Linked DNA regions of Danio rerio. The protein of the gene in region 4 interacts with the protein of the main gene of each other region in a pairwise test. Links are inferred from orthologs where the notes say so. Each region holds a gene or a part of one and is shown on either strand. Other genes may lie near its edges. The genes, in order: pde4dip, chd3, mrpl44, immt and pfdn1.

What was found.
Region 1: the proteins of immt (region 4) and pde4dip interact in a two-hybrid assay, tested with the Homo sapiens proteins (2 studies listed by BioGRID and IntAct, with this or other methods). The link is inferred for Danio rerio from reciprocal best matches to the Homo sapiens genes IMMT and PDE4DIP.
Region 2: the proteins of immt (region 4) and chd3 interact in a two-hybrid assay, tested with the Homo sapiens proteins (2 studies listed by BioGRID and IntAct). The link is inferred for Danio rerio from reciprocal best matches to the Homo sapiens genes IMMT and CHD3.
Region 3: the proteins of immt (region 4) and mrpl44 interact in a two-hybrid assay, tested with the Homo sapiens proteins (2 studies listed by BioGRID and IntAct). The link is inferred for Danio rerio from reciprocal best matches to the Homo sapiens genes IMMT and MRPL44.
Region 5: the proteins of immt (region 4) and pfdn1 interact in a two-hybrid assay, tested with the Homo sapiens proteins (2 studies listed by BioGRID and IntAct). The link is inferred for Danio rerio from reciprocal best matches to the Homo sapiens genes IMMT and PFDN1.

The regions. Positions count from the first base shown.
Region 1 is NC_133195.1:37,890,440-37,893,961, reverse strand, and holds part of pde4dip (myomegalin), read right to left. Parts: intron 2,872-3,522; coding exon 2,439-2,871; intron 628-2,438; coding exon 392-627; intron 323-391; coding exon 268-322; intron 1-267. UniProt on the Homo sapiens protein: Functions as an anchor sequestering components of the cAMP-dependent pathway to Golgi and/or centrosomes.
Region 2 is NC_133182.1:20,717,885-20,721,406, reverse strand, and holds part of chd3 (chromodomain-helicase-DNA-binding protein 3), read left to right. Parts: intron 1-752; coding exon 753-874; intron 875-1,059; coding exon 1,060-1,233; intron 1,234-1,329; coding exon 1,330-1,471; intron 1,472-1,701; coding exon 1,702-1,833; intron 1,834-2,386; coding exon 2,387-2,504; intron 2,505-3,522.
Region 3 is NC_133190.1:37,847,702-37,851,223, forward strand, and holds part of mrpl44 (large ribosomal subunit protein mL44), read right to left. Parts: coding exon 3,310-3,522; intron 1-3,309. UniProt on the Homo sapiens protein: Component of the 39S subunit of mitochondrial ribosome. May have a function in the assembly/stability of nascent mitochondrial polypeptides exiting the ribosome.
Region 4 is NC_133189.1:18,417,886-18,420,377, reverse strand, and holds the end of immt (MICOS complex subunit MIC60), read right to left. Parts: intron 2,413-2,492; coding exon 2,283-2,412; intron 1,623-2,282; coding exon 1,015-1,622; 3' UTR 520-1,014; downstream 1-519. UniProt on the Homo sapiens protein: Component of the MICOS complex, a large protein complex of the mitochondrial inner membrane that plays crucial roles in the maintenance of crista junctions, inner membrane architecture, and formation of contact sites to the outer membrane.
Region 5 is NC_133196.1:32,811,843-32,815,917, forward strand, and holds the start of pfdn1 (prefoldin subunit 1), read right to left. Parts: upstream 2,802-4,075; 5' UTR 2,789-2,801; coding exon 2,756-2,788; intron 1-2,755. UniProt on the Homo sapiens protein: Binds specifically to cytosolic chaperonin (c-CPN) and transfers target proteins to it. Binds to nascent polypeptide chain and promotes folding in an environment in which there are many competing pathways for nonnative proteins.

The DNA.
Region 1 (3,522 bases), on a different chromosome or scaffold from region 4:
ATAAGAATCTGCCCTGCTTTGTGAACAAGCAAAACAATGCAGCCAATTATACTTAGTTAAAAAGCTGAGCTAAGACATTTCTTAGAACCTCTTCATTGGGGGTTTAACTGTGTCAGTCCAGTCGCTCAATGGGAAAGAAATATCAACCAATCAATATGGCCTGTGTGCTGTACTCATCACATGTTCTGGCTGATTTGGTTTACTGACAGCAAAGGGAAACCTGATTTAACGACAAGCTCTGATCAATAAAGTGTTCAGCTGACTCACCGTATTGCAAGCAGCTCATGGCCTGATTTATCATCTGGGACTTCAGAGTGATCTCCTGCGAGGATGAAATAATTCAGTGCAATGTTTTTGTACGAGAATTGAGATATGTATGTTTGTGACTTACGACCGCTGATCTTGGTGCTGACTCTCTGTGCGAGCGAGATGCTTTGAGAGAGCTGGTCTCTGAAGCTTTGGCCCATGTAGTAATCGATGTCATTGGAGCGCAGAAGCTCTTCAAAGGTCTTGGTTGTGTCTCCGAGGTGCTGGGTCAGAATGTGGCACATGCCACGGCCCTCCCGCATCTTCTGCCGCAGGTGAGACAGCTCACGGGCCTGGGCCTGGATCAGCGTGTCAAACTTACTGCAGGGAGAATGGGAAAAAAGTGATGTTTGTAAAACGATATAATGGTGAAAATAGATCTGTGAAATGTGTAGTTCCTACAGCTGATTTAATAAGGAATCATACAGTATATAACTATAAATAAGTAAACAAACATATACAAATATAATAAATTATTAAAACATTGTTTAAAAAAACAAATAAAAAAATGTAACAAATTAAATGTAAAATATTTTTTATGTTTTATACATTTCATGTTTTCACATCATTTAATATTCAAAAAAAATTCTGTAAGTAGAAAAAACATTTTATTATGGAAAGCAAATCAAATATATAATTATAACTTTATCTTACATTTACTTTTATTGACATTTCCATATACAGAGTACGTAAACTTGTAATATGTAACTTAATTTACTTAACTATAAATTAGGGCTGCACAATATATTGTTTCAGCATCAATTTTGCAATGTGTGCATCTGCAATAGCCACATCGCAGGATAGGCAATGTTGATTAGTTGATTACAATCAGTGCAGAGTTTAGTTAAAATGGAGTAAAAGTTTAACATCTGAATGTGTTTTTAAAGAGAAAGTTCACCCAAAAACTAAACTCACTTTACTCACTATTTTCATTTCACCCTCACTTGTTTCAAGCCTTTTTGAGTTTATTTTTTATGTTGTACACAAGAAGAAGATATCTTAATAACTCAAATAAATGTTTAAAACAAGCTAAGGGTAACTAAATAGTGAGTAAATGTACATTTTTGAGTGAACTATCCCTTTAAGGCCTGTGACTGTGTATACATTTCAAAGTTTAAAACATTTGTAACTTTTCCCCCTTCATAATTATTTAAATAGCCAAAAAACATACATTTATTAATCAACATAACTTAAAACACAACACATATATAAACATAATGCCTTAACATTGTGTAAAATGAAGACAACATCAGTACAATACAAGAAAAACCTGATAGCATCAGCATCCTTTTGTCCACTTACAATTACATTTGGCTTTAGAAGTCATTTAAGAAAGGATGCCACATGGCAGTGAACTTGGACCCAGAACTATTTAAATTAAGTCTTATTTTTTCCAAATTAAGGAAATGCAACACATCATTGGCCCACTGTTTAAAAGAAGGGGGAAATTACTGTTTCCAATTGATTAAAATCCAGTGTCTTGCCAAAAGAGAAGTAAAGGCAATACAATCCAATTCTATATTGTTTGTTACTTTAATAAATATTACACAATATAGAATAAATACTATGCAGTGTTCATTATTCAATATCTGAACGTGAATATTGTTAGACTCTCCAGAAATCTATAATTCACTTTATCTTTGCTATATTGCATTTATCCATGCTTGTAAGTTATTTGTTAAATTATTCGAGATTCACTTCTTTACAAAATCACCCCAAATCAATCTAAAATGAAAAATTCTTTCCAAATAAAGCAGTATTCTTATCGCAATATATATCGCAGAAATACAAAATATCGCAATGCCAGATATTTCCATTAATGTGCAGCCCTATTATGAATTAAATAAACACAAAAAGTGAATAATTATATAATATTTTATAATAAATGAATAATATAAAAAATATAAATAAAAAAAACATTAAATTAATTAAAAAATATTTAGAAAAATGACAAGCAATATATTGCTATTTTTGGCTTACACTTAATGCACATTGCAATGTAATGCAATGTATTAATCTTACATTTATTTACTTACATATTTATTATATATGAAACTTTTATAACATATCAAATCTTAAAATTAAAATTGATATATTACTCATGTTACATATTATATTATGAATGTACTCACCCCGGCCAGTTTCCATTTTTGCCATCATCTGCATGACCTTTGCCCTTCCTGAGCTGCTCCTCCAGTGACGTCACACGTGAGACGAGCTCCTGCAGCTCTCGGTCCTGCTTGGGCTGCCGTGGCAGTGACCCGAAACCGTCCGACGACTGCCAGCCCTCGTCCTCTTCAGCTGTACTCTGCGTCTCAGAGTTATCCAGGCCCCAGTTGACCTTGCGAGGAGTGCCGACTGGAGTGCAATCACGCATCTGGGCTTGCAGGCTGCGAATCAGAGCCTGAGATCGCGACAGTTGACCACGCAGATCCTCCACCAGCTGCTGCAGGTACGTCACATCATGTTCAGGTTTCCCAGAGTTGTGTGTGGCGGGACCAGCCCACCACTGAGAGCCAGCATCCCGATAGGAGAGAGATGTGCAGAGCTCCAGATCATCAAACTCTGCAGCAGAGGAGGACATGCTTGCGTCAATGAAATCAAACTTCAAAGTTTAATACACTTCATCAAATTGGAAAGAATTAGACACTCACTGAAAGCTTCTTCTAAGAACTTTTGATAAAATATAGCATTCTCTCTATGGATAAATGGAAAAGTACACTCCCTGCATACTGGAAGATCCTTTTTACATTCTTCTGTAATGGCTCATGTTATCAGACTTTCAGCTTTTGTGCAAACAGTTGTTTAGGTGGGCACAACTGTGTTTTTATTTAAAAAATTAGTTTTTTTTTTTCGGTGGCGCAGTGGGTAGCACGATTGCCTCACAGCAAGAAGGTCACTGATTTGAGCCTCATCTGGGTCAGTAGGCATTTCTGTGTGGAGTTTGCATGTTCTCCCTGTGTTCCCGTGGGTTTCCTCCGGGTGCTCTGGTTTCTCCCACAAGTCCAAAGACATGTAGTACAGGTGAACTGGTAAAGCTAAATTGTCTGTAGCGTATGAGTGTCAATGAGTGTCAATGAGTGTGTATGAGTGTTTATGGGTAATTCCTTATAGGTTGCAGCTAGAAGGGCTTCCGCTGCGTAACACATATGCTGGATAAGTTGGCGGTTTATTCCACTGTTGCGACCCCAGATTAATAAAGGGAATAAGCCGAAA
Region 2 (3,522 bases), on a different chromosome or scaffold from region 4:
AATAGTTTTTACAAATTTAAGTAAATTAAACATAACACATGATCTTTAAGTCTATTCAAATATGCAGACTTGGTGTTGAACAAACTTTCCGTAATGTTATTAATGTTTGCTAGAGTTGTGCTGCTGAATATTTTTTTGTGAAAACTGTAATATATTTTGTTAGGATTCTTTGATGAAAATTAAATGAATAAGTGAAAAATTTCTGTCATTTTTCTTTCAAGTGACTCTTTATTACTTTATAGAGTCCTTTCTACAAAATTGTTGTAATTACTTTCAGTATTAAAACTCTTTCCAACCCCAAATGTTTCAATTGTTATGCTGTATGTTAACTAAGGATAATCAAAATCTATGCATACACTGTAAAAAATGCTGGGTTCCACACAATCCCTTCATGTTATCCCAACACAAATTGATTTTAACCTAATCTTTTTTACAAATTTAAATGGATTAACCATCAAACAATTATGTTGTTTCCCAAAAAGAAAAACATAAAAATTGTGTTATTTCAATTTTAAATAAGTAGTTTAAACAAACAGCAAAAGACTATAGAGATTGCCTTACAAAAACAAATTGCTCAATAAATCTACTATTATACACCTTTTGCAAAAAGATGCATGATGTTTTATTATTGGCAAGTTATGCTAACCTTGCTATACATACAGTTTTTGTAAAGAACCATGTATAATTTTAGCTGACTGAAATAAAGATTTTGTGTGTTTCATTAACTGATGTCTGTTGTTGTGGTGTGTTAGTTCTTCAGGAGACTGAACGACTACAAGATAGACCATAAGCTGCTGCTAACAGGAACTCCACTCCAGAACAACCTGGAAGAGCTTTTCCACCTGCTTAACTTCCTGACACCCAACCGCTTCAAGTAGGACCCTACACAAAAGCGTGCTTATTTACTCAAAATGACCCAATTTGCACAGTAAAACGTATTATGTTATCTAAATCTATGATATGCCAATTTTAGTGTGACTGAAGTTATGTAGGCGTCACATCAACAGACATGTTGTAATAATTTCACTAATAAATCACTTTGTTTCTGCAATCCCTCAGCAATCTGGAGGGTTTTCTAGAGGAGTTTGCGGACATCTCTAAAGAGGACCAGATCAAGAAACTGCATGACCTGCTCGGCCCTCACATGCTGCGGAGACTCAAAGCTGATGTGTTTAAAAACATGCCAGCAAAAACGGAGCTGATCGTCCGAGTGGAGCTCAGCCCCATGCAGAAGTGAGACCCACAACCTCAATATCCTTAACAAAATGTGTTGACTTCAGACAAAAATAATAACAATACAAACATCATACATACTCTTTGTGTAAACAGAAAATACTACAAGTTCATTCTGACGCGTAACTTCGAGGCGCTGAATTCCAAGGGAGGAGGGAACCAGGTGTCTCTGCTCAACATTATGATGGACCTAAAAAAGTGCTGCAACCACCCCTACCTCTTCCCCGTCGCTGCTGCCGTAAGAGCACACATTAAATTCATGACACCTACTATAAATCATTTCACTTTGAGCTAGATTGGTGCTAAAGTAACTGATGTAGTGTGAAATACTGCCACCTGCTGTTGGAAAACCTGGCTCAAATGCTGTCCAAAGGTTTGTAAAGAAAATGAATAATAGCTGCATTTTGTTTTTTGTGTCCGTGTGTACATATGTATCCTAGGCTGTTATGCTGTGTTTGTGTGCTTTAGGAAGCTCCCAAGACACCGAGTGGAGCGTATGAAGGTGTTGGGCTTACCAAGGCCTCTGGGAAACTCATGCTGCTGCAGAAAATGCTCCGAAAACTGAAAGAACAAGGCCACCGGGTGTTAGTGTTCTCTCAGGTATGAGCACATGGGTAAATACACATTCACACAGCCTGCTCTGTACACGATACTGAAGATGCTTTATTTGCTATTAGGCTCTCAAACGGCAGTATGTTTGGTTCCCCCAGGTGGTGCACAATGTAAAGTATTGATTATTAGACTAAGCATTTGTTTATAAAGGGATAGTCCACCCAAAACTAAAACCTCTGCCATCATTTACACAAAGGAAGATATTTTGAAGAATGTTGAGTGGAAAAGAGTTGGAAAAAACAAAGTTTTTTTCCAACAGTGTTCAGGAAATATTGTGTTTAACAGAAGAATGAAATTCATAATGTGATAAGGGAATCTTAATTTTTAGATGAACAATCCCCATAACTTGTGTTTACCATGTTTTGTTTCTCATTAGCATTCTGTTTAAATAAACATATATTTCTGATCATTGCAGGCTAATGTGGAGCAAATGGCTTGCTAGGTGCTCCTCAGATAGACTTATTTGATTCGTTGAACGACTTGGTCTGAAAGTTTGATTTGTATCATGTAGTTATACTTTTACACTTTGTTTCCTCGTCAGATGACCAAGATGCTGGATTTGCTGGAGGACTTCCTGGATTCTGAGGGTTATAAATATGAGCGGATAGATGGAGGCATCACTGGAGCTCTCCGTCAGGAAGCCATCGACAGATTCAATGGTAAGATACTTTTATTGCAGGTTGCTGGTTCGAGTTCCAGCTGAGTGAGTTGCATTTCTGTGTGGAGTTTGCATGTTCTCCCTGTGTTCATGTGGGTTTCCTCCGGGTGCTCCAGTTTTCCCCGGTTTTCATTTTCGTTTTGGCTTAGTCCTTTTATTAATCAGGGGTTGCTACAGTAGTATGAACCGCCAACTCATCCAATTTTATGCAGCAGATGCCCTTCCAGCTGCAACCCATCACTGGGAAACATCCATACCCTTTCTACATTCACTGAGGAAAATTTAGCTTACCCAATTCACCTATACCACATGTCTTTGGACTTGTGGGGAAACTGGAGCACCCGGAAGAAACCCGGGAACATGCAAACTCCACACAGAAATGCCAACTGACCCAGCCAAGGCTCAAACTAGTGACCCTCTTGCTTTGAGGCGATTTTGCTACCCACTGCGCCACCCTGCTGCCAAAATTGCAAGTATATTTGAACAAAATATTCATTTACGGTTGAACTATCTCTTTAGGCCCACTATTGAAAAATAATGTGGCACAATAACCACCAGTAGGTGTCAGCAAGTCCCTGTCTAATAAGTGAATCTTTGAATTCATTCAATTGGTTCATTATGATTCATAGAACAAAAAGGACAATACAGATGTTTGTTCTGAAGTACGCAAATGCTTTATCAGGAGCTATTTTAATTGACAAAACTGTAGTATTGTGTGTAACATGTAATTAACTCAGTAATTCAAGATGTCCTACAGCATAAATGTTGTATTTGTATGGTTTCATATGTTTTTGTATATTTTTATAAGATATAATGTAAGTAATATAACAGTATAATTTGTACTTTAATATGGCTTTGTCTGTCTAACATGTAAATTCAAATGTCATCAAGCTGTGACCTATTTTTAACACCTTTTGTTTACTGTATATGCTGAAAAGATCTACGTAAAAATGAAAGCTTTTAATAAAACATTTAAGCATTTAACATTTATTAGCATAATAAACATTTATTCTCTTTTC
Region 3 (3,522 bases), on a different chromosome or scaffold from region 4:
CTTTTCTCTATTTTACACGGATTTATTCTTCATTTAATTATTTAACCCTTGTGGGCTGTTTGGGATGTTTTCATCCACTCCCGGGTTATTTTGAGTCTTAATTTGGATAAAACTTTCTCTGTGTTTTAGCATATGAAAAGACTTTTGGTTACAAATCTTATTTTGACAAATATTTTAGGAAAATGCTTTGAAAGTTTTCAAAAGCTCAACAATACACTGAGCAAATTTACTACCCTTCCGTTGTGTTGGTGGCTGTTTTTGCCCCATTGACTTTCATTATAATGACATTTTTTGATAGATACCTGTTAGAAACAGGTAAAATTAGCAATTTTTACTAGTGATCAACAGTTGCAGTGAAAAAAAAAACATAGTTTCTGGCTTTTATATGGAGTACATGTGTGCACATGTGAGAGAGAGAGACCTTTGCTCACTTACTTTGATATGTCTGAAAAATCAGACAGCAGCTCAGCTCTTACAACACAGTAAACATAGTAAAGCCTGGTTTATACTTCTGCGTCAAGTGACCGGCGCAACTCACGGCGCAGGCAACGCGCGTGGCTGTGCATTTATACTTCTGCGCGCTGTCTCCGTTGGTCTGCATTAACACTTCCGAAACGCTAGTGGGCAGTGAGGTGTAAATGTTCCTCTGTGTCGAGTTTCTTCGCTTCTGTTTTGCTATTCTGAACACTTCCTGGATGTACAAGTGACTCAAACTCGCTCATTTTGAGGCAGGAACCAGCGGACGTGCAACAACTTTAACCATGAGGTAAACAAAGAACAAAACTTTCCATCCGGAGCTCCTTCACGGGACTCCACACTTGTAAACAATCGCTCGCGCCATTCGCGCGGCTCTCGGTCCCGCCCAGACTCGTCGGCGCTAGCAAGCCGACCAATCACAGAGCTTGCGCTACGCGTTGTTGCGACGTGTAGTTACAATTTTTGAGAGGTGCACGTCAGTGACGGCGACGGCCACGGCGATGGGCTATGCGTCAGCGCCGTAGCATACGCCGGTGTTTGACGCAGAAGTATAAATCAGCCTTAAGTGTACACTACATGACAAAAGTCTTGTCGCCTATCCTAAGTTTTTAGGACCAACAAATAATAACTTGATTTTTACACTTATTTTACCAAAACAAAACATGATCATGCCTTGATTTTTAATTATTTGTACAGTAAGGTCTGAAGCCTGGTTTATACTTCTGCGTCAAGTGACCGGCGCAACTCACGGCGCAGGCAACGCGCGCAGCTGTGCATTTATACTTCTGCGCGCTGTCTTTGTTGGTCTGCATTAACACTTCCGAAACGCTAGTGGGCAGTGAGGTGTAAATGTTCCTCTGTGTCGAGTTTCTTCGCTTCTGTTTTGCTATTCTGAACACTTCCTGGATGTACAAGTGACTCAAACTCGCTCATTTTGAGGCAGGAACCGGCAGACGTGCAACAACTTTAACCATGAGGTAAACACAGAACAAAACTTTCCATCCGGAGCTCCTTCACGGGACTCCACACTTGTAAACAATCGCTCGCGCCATTCGCGCGGCTTTCGGTCCCGCCCAGACTCGTCGGCGCTAGCAAGCCGACCAATCACAGAGCTTGCGCTACGCGTTGTTGCGACGTGTAGTTACAAATTTTGAGAGGTGCACGTCAGCGACGGCAATGGCCACGGCGAAGGGCTATGCGTCAGCGCCGTAGCATACGCCGGTGTTTGACGCAGAAGTATAAATCAGCCTTGAGTTTGCTTAGACAAAAATCTTGTAACTTAACAGAAATAATGTACAGTGTAGAATATAAAGTCATGATGGAGTGGAAAAAGAGTTAATATTGTGTTTGACTTTCATGAGCTTATACGACTGCATCTATATATCTCTGCAATGACTCTAATAATTTATTAATAAAGTCATCTGGAATGACAAAAAAAGCGTTCCTGCAGTTCATCAAGATTATTTTAATTCATCTTCAATGCCTCCTCTATTTTACTCCAGACATGCTCAATAATGTTCATGTCTAGTGATTGGGCTGGCCAATCCAGGAGCACCTTGACCTTCTTTGCTTTCAGGAACTTCGATGTGGAGACTGAAGTATGAGAAGGAGCGCTATCCTGCTGAAGAATTAGCCCTCTCCTGTGGTTTTTAATGTAATAGCTAGAACAAATGTATAGATACCTCAGGCTGTTGATGTCGTCATCCTCTCTGCAGATCTCTAGCAAGCCCCACAACCTGAATGTAACCCCAAACCATGACTTTTCCTTCACCAAACTTGACTGATTTCTGTGAGAATCCTGGGTCCATGCAGGTTCCAATCTTAGTTCCTTCTGTAGTATTTGTGATGATTGGGATGCAGTTCAATAAATAATTCATCAGAAAAATCTACCTTCAGGCAGTTTTCCAAATGATTAACTAGAAGTCCAGTTATTATTTGTTGCTCTTACAACTGTGATCGATGAAAAGACTTTTGTCAGGTAGTGTGTATTTATGCATACACACTTTCATTTGTTGTTGTTCTCCATAGAAGTTTTTCTAAAGGGATAATAGTGTCAACTGATGATTAACAGTAAAAATTACAAATTTGACCTCTTCTCAACAGGGAAAACCACCAACAATCAAGAATGCAGGATTATATGCTGTCATGGCTTTGCAATCAAAAAATGTCATTATAATGAAAGTCAATGGGGTAAAAACAGCCAAAAAGATTATGAAAGGGTAGTGCATTTCAACAATACACAAGGGTTAATTTAATCATATATTTAGTGTTATAACTATGGTTTAACCTCTGTTGTTTAAATTATATTGTGTATGTTTGAGGGATATTTGATTTCATAAGTCAGACTGACTGAATTATTCAGAAGCAGCTCTTCCTATAGAATAACAAAACTCAGTCTCATGAATAATATTTAGACAGCTAACACTTCACTGGAGTACACAGAGGCTTATGCTACATCACCAAAAGTAACGCTGCCTGACAGAGATTTTAAAGCTGAAAGATTTTAAAAAATTAGAGGGGTAAAGCTCAAAATTAGCCAGTTTTTCCCTTACAGTAAAAGCTAACAGATACTAACGTTGTTTTAACAGATTCTAACGTTGATTTTCAACATGCATAAATCTGTTCAAATCTTGCAACTCAGATGATTTAACTCTACTTTTCTTTACTACCTTTCCGTTGGCTCCTGCTTCTGCATTTTACAGCCAAGTTCCTCTTTGATAAAAGCCTAATTAATACAGTTTTGATGTTAGACAGATATCAACAAAACAGATCTGGCAACCGGGCATAGATCTGCTTTGTCTGGCGTGGCAACTGTGATCTGACTGTGCTTACCGTAGTGAAGTGTTGACCGTGATCACGCAGCTCAGTGTTGTCTTTCAGGTTAAGGATGGCGGACTCTGAATCCAAACCCAGCGCTTTCCTCCTCTCCACCTCAGAGCGTAGGTAACAGGAATTCACAAACGCCGTCTTCAGCAAATCCACAGAGAAACTCTCCTGCAGACGGACTCCGAAAGCTTCCACCTCAGCATGGTAATCAAAGTTCGG
Region 4 (2,492 bases):
AGAATAAAAGCAATTTTTAATTTTAAAAAATAATTTTAAGATCAAAATTATTAGCCCCTTTAAGCTATATTTTTCAAGAGTCTACAGAACAAACCATTGATTTGTAATAACTTACAATGATTTGCCTAAAAAACCTAACCCACCTAGTTAACCTTATTAACCTAGTTAAGCCTTTAAATGTCACTTTAAGCTGTATAGAAGTGTCTTGAAAAATATCTAGTCAAATATTGTTTACTGTCATCATGGCAAAGATAAAATAAATCAGTTAATAGAAATGAGTTATTAAAACTATTATGTTTAGAAATGTGCTGAAAAGTCAGCGCAATACCCTAGTGGTTAGTGTGCTGACATATGGTGTAGTAGCACTTCAGGGTGCCCGAGTTCGAATCCCGGCTGTAGGACATTTCCTATCCCTAACTCACTCTCACTCTCTCTCCCATGTCACTTCCTGTGGGGGGAGAAACTATCAAACTATCACTTTCATCCAAATTCACAGACATGCAAAACACCGAAATGCCATTCATGTCAACAACCATGATTTATTGATCGCCAATACTGAATGAGAGAAGGACTGATTCTCAACAGTCTGGGTTAATAAACAACCAGTAAATATAACTTTGAAACTGAAGAGTTACATTGTGAAATGGTGAACAGGAGTAAAGCTGCCAACCACAGTGCTGATCCAGCGGCCCTTCAACCTGCGCATTTGATCCTAACCAGTGAGAGTGCACCATATACACTGAGGAGTGCCACTGCCAAGCTCAACAAAACCTTTGAGATGCGTTTCCCGCAAATGAGGTACAGCTACTGGTTGTTCTGCATGGTAGGCCACTTAAGAGTACTTTTAAGGGCAAGGACTTCCTGGAAAAAAGTGCATCGGGGAGATGAGAAACGCTAATATTTTGGGCTAGCACGCAACCTATTAATAAATTAATCAGAGGAGCGGAAGGTTCTATTAATAGCGGGCGAGCAACACTCCTCATAATTTACATAATCTCCACAGAGTGGGTGTGGCTAAGGGGCCTGTGTGGTGCCCAAGCCTACGGCATTAGCATATGCTGATAGCAAGCTAATCACCTGCTTTGTTTCTAAAGTGAGCCGGGCTTCTTTGAGCCAGTCCTGCGCCACGCGCTGTGATTCTCCGCGAAGTTGGTTGACGAACTTAGCGGCTAGTTCCAGGTCGCCGCGCTCGATGCTGTAAGTAGCGTAGGCTAGCAGCTTGAATGTGTCAAGGTCTTCAGGGGCTAGTTTCGCAGGTGGCGCTTCTTGATCCCTCTCAAACAAAAGGACGGACTGTAGGTAGGACAGGAAGTACTGGTAAAGGCTGTTGCGGGTTTCGTCGATAAGCGCCACACGTCGTGCGAGCCTGCGGATGTCGTAGAAACGTGCGCGAAGGGAAGCTTCACTGTAGATTCCTCGGTTGAGGGACTCTTCAGGAATGGCGATGGCCAGTGCCTGTGCAAATTCGTTTTCTGCGCAGCTTTCTTTAATAGCACGTACAGCGCCCTCTAGAGGCTCAGTGGGGGAATCAGCACCTGCAGATTTCAGCGTGTAGTTTAGAGCTTCAACCGAAAGCCACAGCTGGTGAGCTTTACGAGCCTCTTCCTCAGCAATCACATGACCTTGAAGACAAAACAAATATTTGATATGTGAAAAATGAGAAACAATATCAGTCAAGTCACATCGAGATCAAGGTTTTTTAGTTCAGCATTTTTAGTTTGTTTTTAATTCAATAATATATTAAAAATTGCTGTAAATTTCATTTAGTAGTTTTTTTGTTTTAATTTAGATTTGTTCATGGGAACACATTTTCTGTTTAGTTCTGATACATGTAGTTTTAGTAATTCTAGTATAACAAAGTTAACAGATTATGTCCAGTCTAGACCACAGCAAAGTTTAATGTTTGCGCAGCTTAATTTAACCCTTGTTCAAACTTTTTAGTAATAAAAGTACAAAAATAGTTTGGACAGACACTGAACCCAAAGCCATTAAACAAATAATAGAGAAAAGTAAAAAGTAGCGCCATCTACAGGTAATTTTCTGAAAAGCTGCAAGGTAAATTTTCTGCTGCAGAATCAGATCATTTCGAATCATTATTTTATTTCAGTTTTTTTTTATTGATTTGTTTTAGTTTCAGTTCTAGTTTTTCATTTATTGTGATTTTTCTTATTTTATATCAGTTAACAAAAATATATTTGACCAACAGATTTAGTCTTGGTTTTTTGTTTACTAAAATAACCTTGATCGAGATTCAAATGGTTGTAGCCGTCTAGCAAACTTACTGTCTATGGCCTCTTCAATGCCTTTCAGACGAGCGTAAGCTGCGTTCATGTCCAGGGTGAAGGTGTCCAGCTGTTCTTGAGTCAGTCTGCGGTAATGAGTTTCTTGCTCCATCATCTTACTGTTCAGAATCTACAAACAAAGACAGAACCTATTTAGATTGACATGATATACAGTTTTTTGCCATCTGCTTACGTAGGAATAATTAAGTT
Region 5 (4,075 bases), on a different chromosome or scaffold from region 4:
AACATTTTTACAGCATCTTTGATAATATTTTTATCTTCTGGAAAAAGTGTTATTTGTTTTATTTCGGCTAGAATAAAAGCAGTTTTTAAATTTTAAATGTCACTTTAAGCTGTATAGTAGTGTCTTAAAAAATATCTAGTAATATATTATTTACTGTCATCATGGCAGAGATAAAATAAATCCGTTATTAGAAATGATCTATTAAAACTTTTATGCTTAATTGGGGGAAAAAATTAACAGGGGGGCTAATAATTCTGACTTCAACTGTAAATTTACAATAAAATTTTATTCATTTTTTTCCCTGAATTTGCATAAAATAGCAAAAAACGTGCATACATGTTTATATTCTGTTTTAGAAAACACGTCGCTTCTGATGAGTTAAAAAAAAATCTAAATTTGGCGGAAATGACATTGATTTTTGTTTTCTGAATGAAATACAGGGTTCTGCAGGTTTCACAAAATTAAATTTAGGACATTTTAAGACATTTTTAAGACCATTATGAATGCAATTTTAGACTTATACAGAACTTAATGCTGAGGATTTTTTATATCCAAGTTAGAAAAGATTTTCACTTGCTAGATAAAAAAAATATTAACATTGAATACAGGAAATATTATGTTTCAATATTTTTTTTATAAATTTTCAAAAATATTCATCTACAAACCCAATAATCAGGGCCAGACAGAATCTGCTGACATTTTTGCTATTTCTGCTGAGAAATTTGTAAAATAAAAAAATAAAAAAATAAAACAGCTGATTTTTGTGGAATGATTATGGTTATAGCGTCATAACTAAAAACTTAATACATGAAATAAAAGCAACAGCTTTTTAGCTCTTATGTTTACAATGCAAATCCAACTAGATCCACGTATTTAGTAAACAAAGCAAGTTTCTCATAATACATCCACTAAAAGACAGAAAATATTACTCTAAAAACTGAATTGTAAATACATCATATGAACATTTTAATATTACTATTGTTATATCACAATAATATTATTGAAAACAATTTAAAACTGAATAAATATAATTTTATACACATTTATACAAGTAAATAAATAGACTCAATGATGGGCTAAAAGTCTGCGGAAATTTGCATGCGCAGATTCCGTGTGGGCCTTCCTATAACCCTTACCAAGAATAGAACAAAGCATAGCTGTCAATTACTTCCGTCTACAATAATAATATTTTAATAATACAAAATGTAGGTCAGGTCAGCAACCACAGCGGTATATAAAGTGGAGTACTTTTTAACAAATGTTACTGTGAGAAAAGTAATTAAATGCTATTTTTAAATAAAACGTTAAAAGTTTTATTGAGATTGGGATTGTTGGTGATTGTTGAGTGTTAATGGCCAGATTGGGTAGTTATTCATGAACATAGGAAAATTAAGACCTGCTAAAAAATATTTAAGACCTACAACACAATATTTTAGTAAATCTAATACTTTTTAAGGCCTAAAATTTTGTTTTTGAGATTTAAGACATTTTAAGACTTTTTAAGACCCCACAGATATCCTGGAAATAACACAGATTTTGTTTCTATTTATAAAAGCTTTATATTTATAATTTGTATGTGTCATCAAATGAGTAATTGTGATTATTGCATTGCAAAATGAATGCAAATAAAATATCTTATGTATATATTAATATATTAATACACATTCATTTAAAAAAAAATGTTTATTTATAATTATCTATCATTAATGTTTGCATATAATACTAATTATACATAAATATAACTGTATTTTTATAATAATAAATCATCTATAGATATAATAAAAAATATTATTTTGTATGTTACTAATTACGATTAAACATTTGACAGCTCTTTTTGACAGCACAATAATAACATTTTTTTCACATTCATATGTAATACAGCAAATTCAGCATTTCCTATAGCTGTAACTGTTATATTTAAACAATTTATATGTTGTTATATGTTGTTGCAGTTGGTAGGGCATTCGTTATGTAAAACATGTGCTGGATAAGTTGGCGATTCGTTCCACTGTGGCGACCCCTGATGAATAAAGAGAAGCCGAAGTAAAATGAATGAATGAATGAATTAGTTGTGACAAATTTGGTGCCACTAATAAATCTTTCCCAGGTTTTCAACATAAATTCTAGAACAAAAATAAGACACTTAGAAAGTCACAACATATAATCTATAAATATATATAAAATATACATAAATATAGACATCACTAAATATTTTGTAAATAAAAAATATTATTTTGCATGTGACTAATTATGATTAAACATTTGACAGCTCTTTTTGACAGCACAATAATAAATTTTTTATCAAATTCATATGTAATACAGCAAATCCAGCATTTCCTATAGCTGTAACAGTTATATTTCAACAAATTATGTCATATATATATATATATATATATATATATATATATATATATATATATATATGGATAAGCAAAAACTAAAGAATAAGCCATATTGAAAGCTTCCTATAGCATGTAATGATGTGTTGATAGATTGATATGTGTTTGGATATTCATTTCTAAAGGATTTACAGTGGTAAACTATAAATATGACGTTGCACATCTTTATAACAAACAATACACATTAAAAGGATTCGCATGCACCTACGTTACACACTGACAGATCGCGTTGCTTAAACAGTTTTATACCTTACTTCTGCTCCACAAAAGCTTAATAACATTTATTCAGTATTTTATCATAACAAAGTAACAACTCTGTTTGGTTTTTAGATATAAAACCAAAAACCACCCTTTACCTTCTTCAACTCGAGGTCTACGGGAGCCGCCATGATGCTAAGTGGTACGAGTCCCTGCGCATGCGCGAAACAAAGAGCTTGTTGCAAAACCTAGTGAGCGGCCTACATAGACAACATTTTCAATGTCAGACAGGCAGGCAATCCACAATAAATGTTCACTAAAAAGGCAGCTCGGTAGTTTTGCAGACACGGTAAGTTTGTGGACTACTTTCAATCTCAAAACAGTGCAACAGAAATGACAGTATATGATAAAGGTTTCAGCGTTATACCAATGTTAGCGTCAAAATGTTTAGAAGCTGACTCTTAATTTAAGCGGACTTTAAGCGGACTTATTTTTAGTGTCTATTATTGTGTGCTACATGTAAAATGTGTCACCCCAGTGGCAACATTGCTCAAGATTTTTTTATTACTATTAACGTGTTGTTTTGTATTGTAAAGTCGTGTATGTTCTGCATTTTAACTCCTGTTAACACTCTGTTTGGTTTCCTCAGGAGACAAATGATGGTAAACCAACTTGAGACTTAAATCTCCAAGCTAAAGACAAGTATATCAGATGTAGTAATGACAACACAATATTTTTATAACTTCACACAGTGAGTGTTTAAACTTTACAACATACATCTGTATATCTGCAGATTTATATCCGACACACTAAAATTTTATAAATAAAAAATAGTAAATCTAAATAATAAAAATAGTTTTATTATTGGTTGTGGGACGACACGGTGGCTTAGTGGATAGCACTGTCTTCTCACAGCAAGAAGATCTCTGGTTCGAGTCCCAGCTGGGTCAGTGGGCAATTCTTTGGAGTTTGCATGTTCTCTCCATGTTGGCGTGGGTTTCCTCAGGGTGCGCCGGTTTCCCCCACAGTTCAAAGACATGCAGTGAATTGAATAAACTAAATTGGTACTGTATGTGTGTGAATTTAATGAGTGTTTATGTATCTTGTCCAGTACTGGGTTGCAGTTATTAGGGCATTTGTTGTGTAAAACATGTGCTGGTTAGTGATTCATTCCACTGGGGCAAACCCCTGATAAATAAAGAGACTAAGCCGAAGTAAAATGAATGAATTAATTAGTTGTGACAAATACGGTGCCACTTATGAATCTTTCCCAGGTTTTCAACAAAAATAAGAGACACTTAGAAAGTCACAATAGTTTATTAAACAGCAGAAATTTGTTACCATTGCTTGAAATTAGTACATGAAATCATGTAATTTATACTAAACGCATAAAACAAACACACTAATAAACGTATTCCATTTTATTTCACTTAATTTAAGCTACACTTTCTCAGTAATACATATAAAAAAGGCTTAAG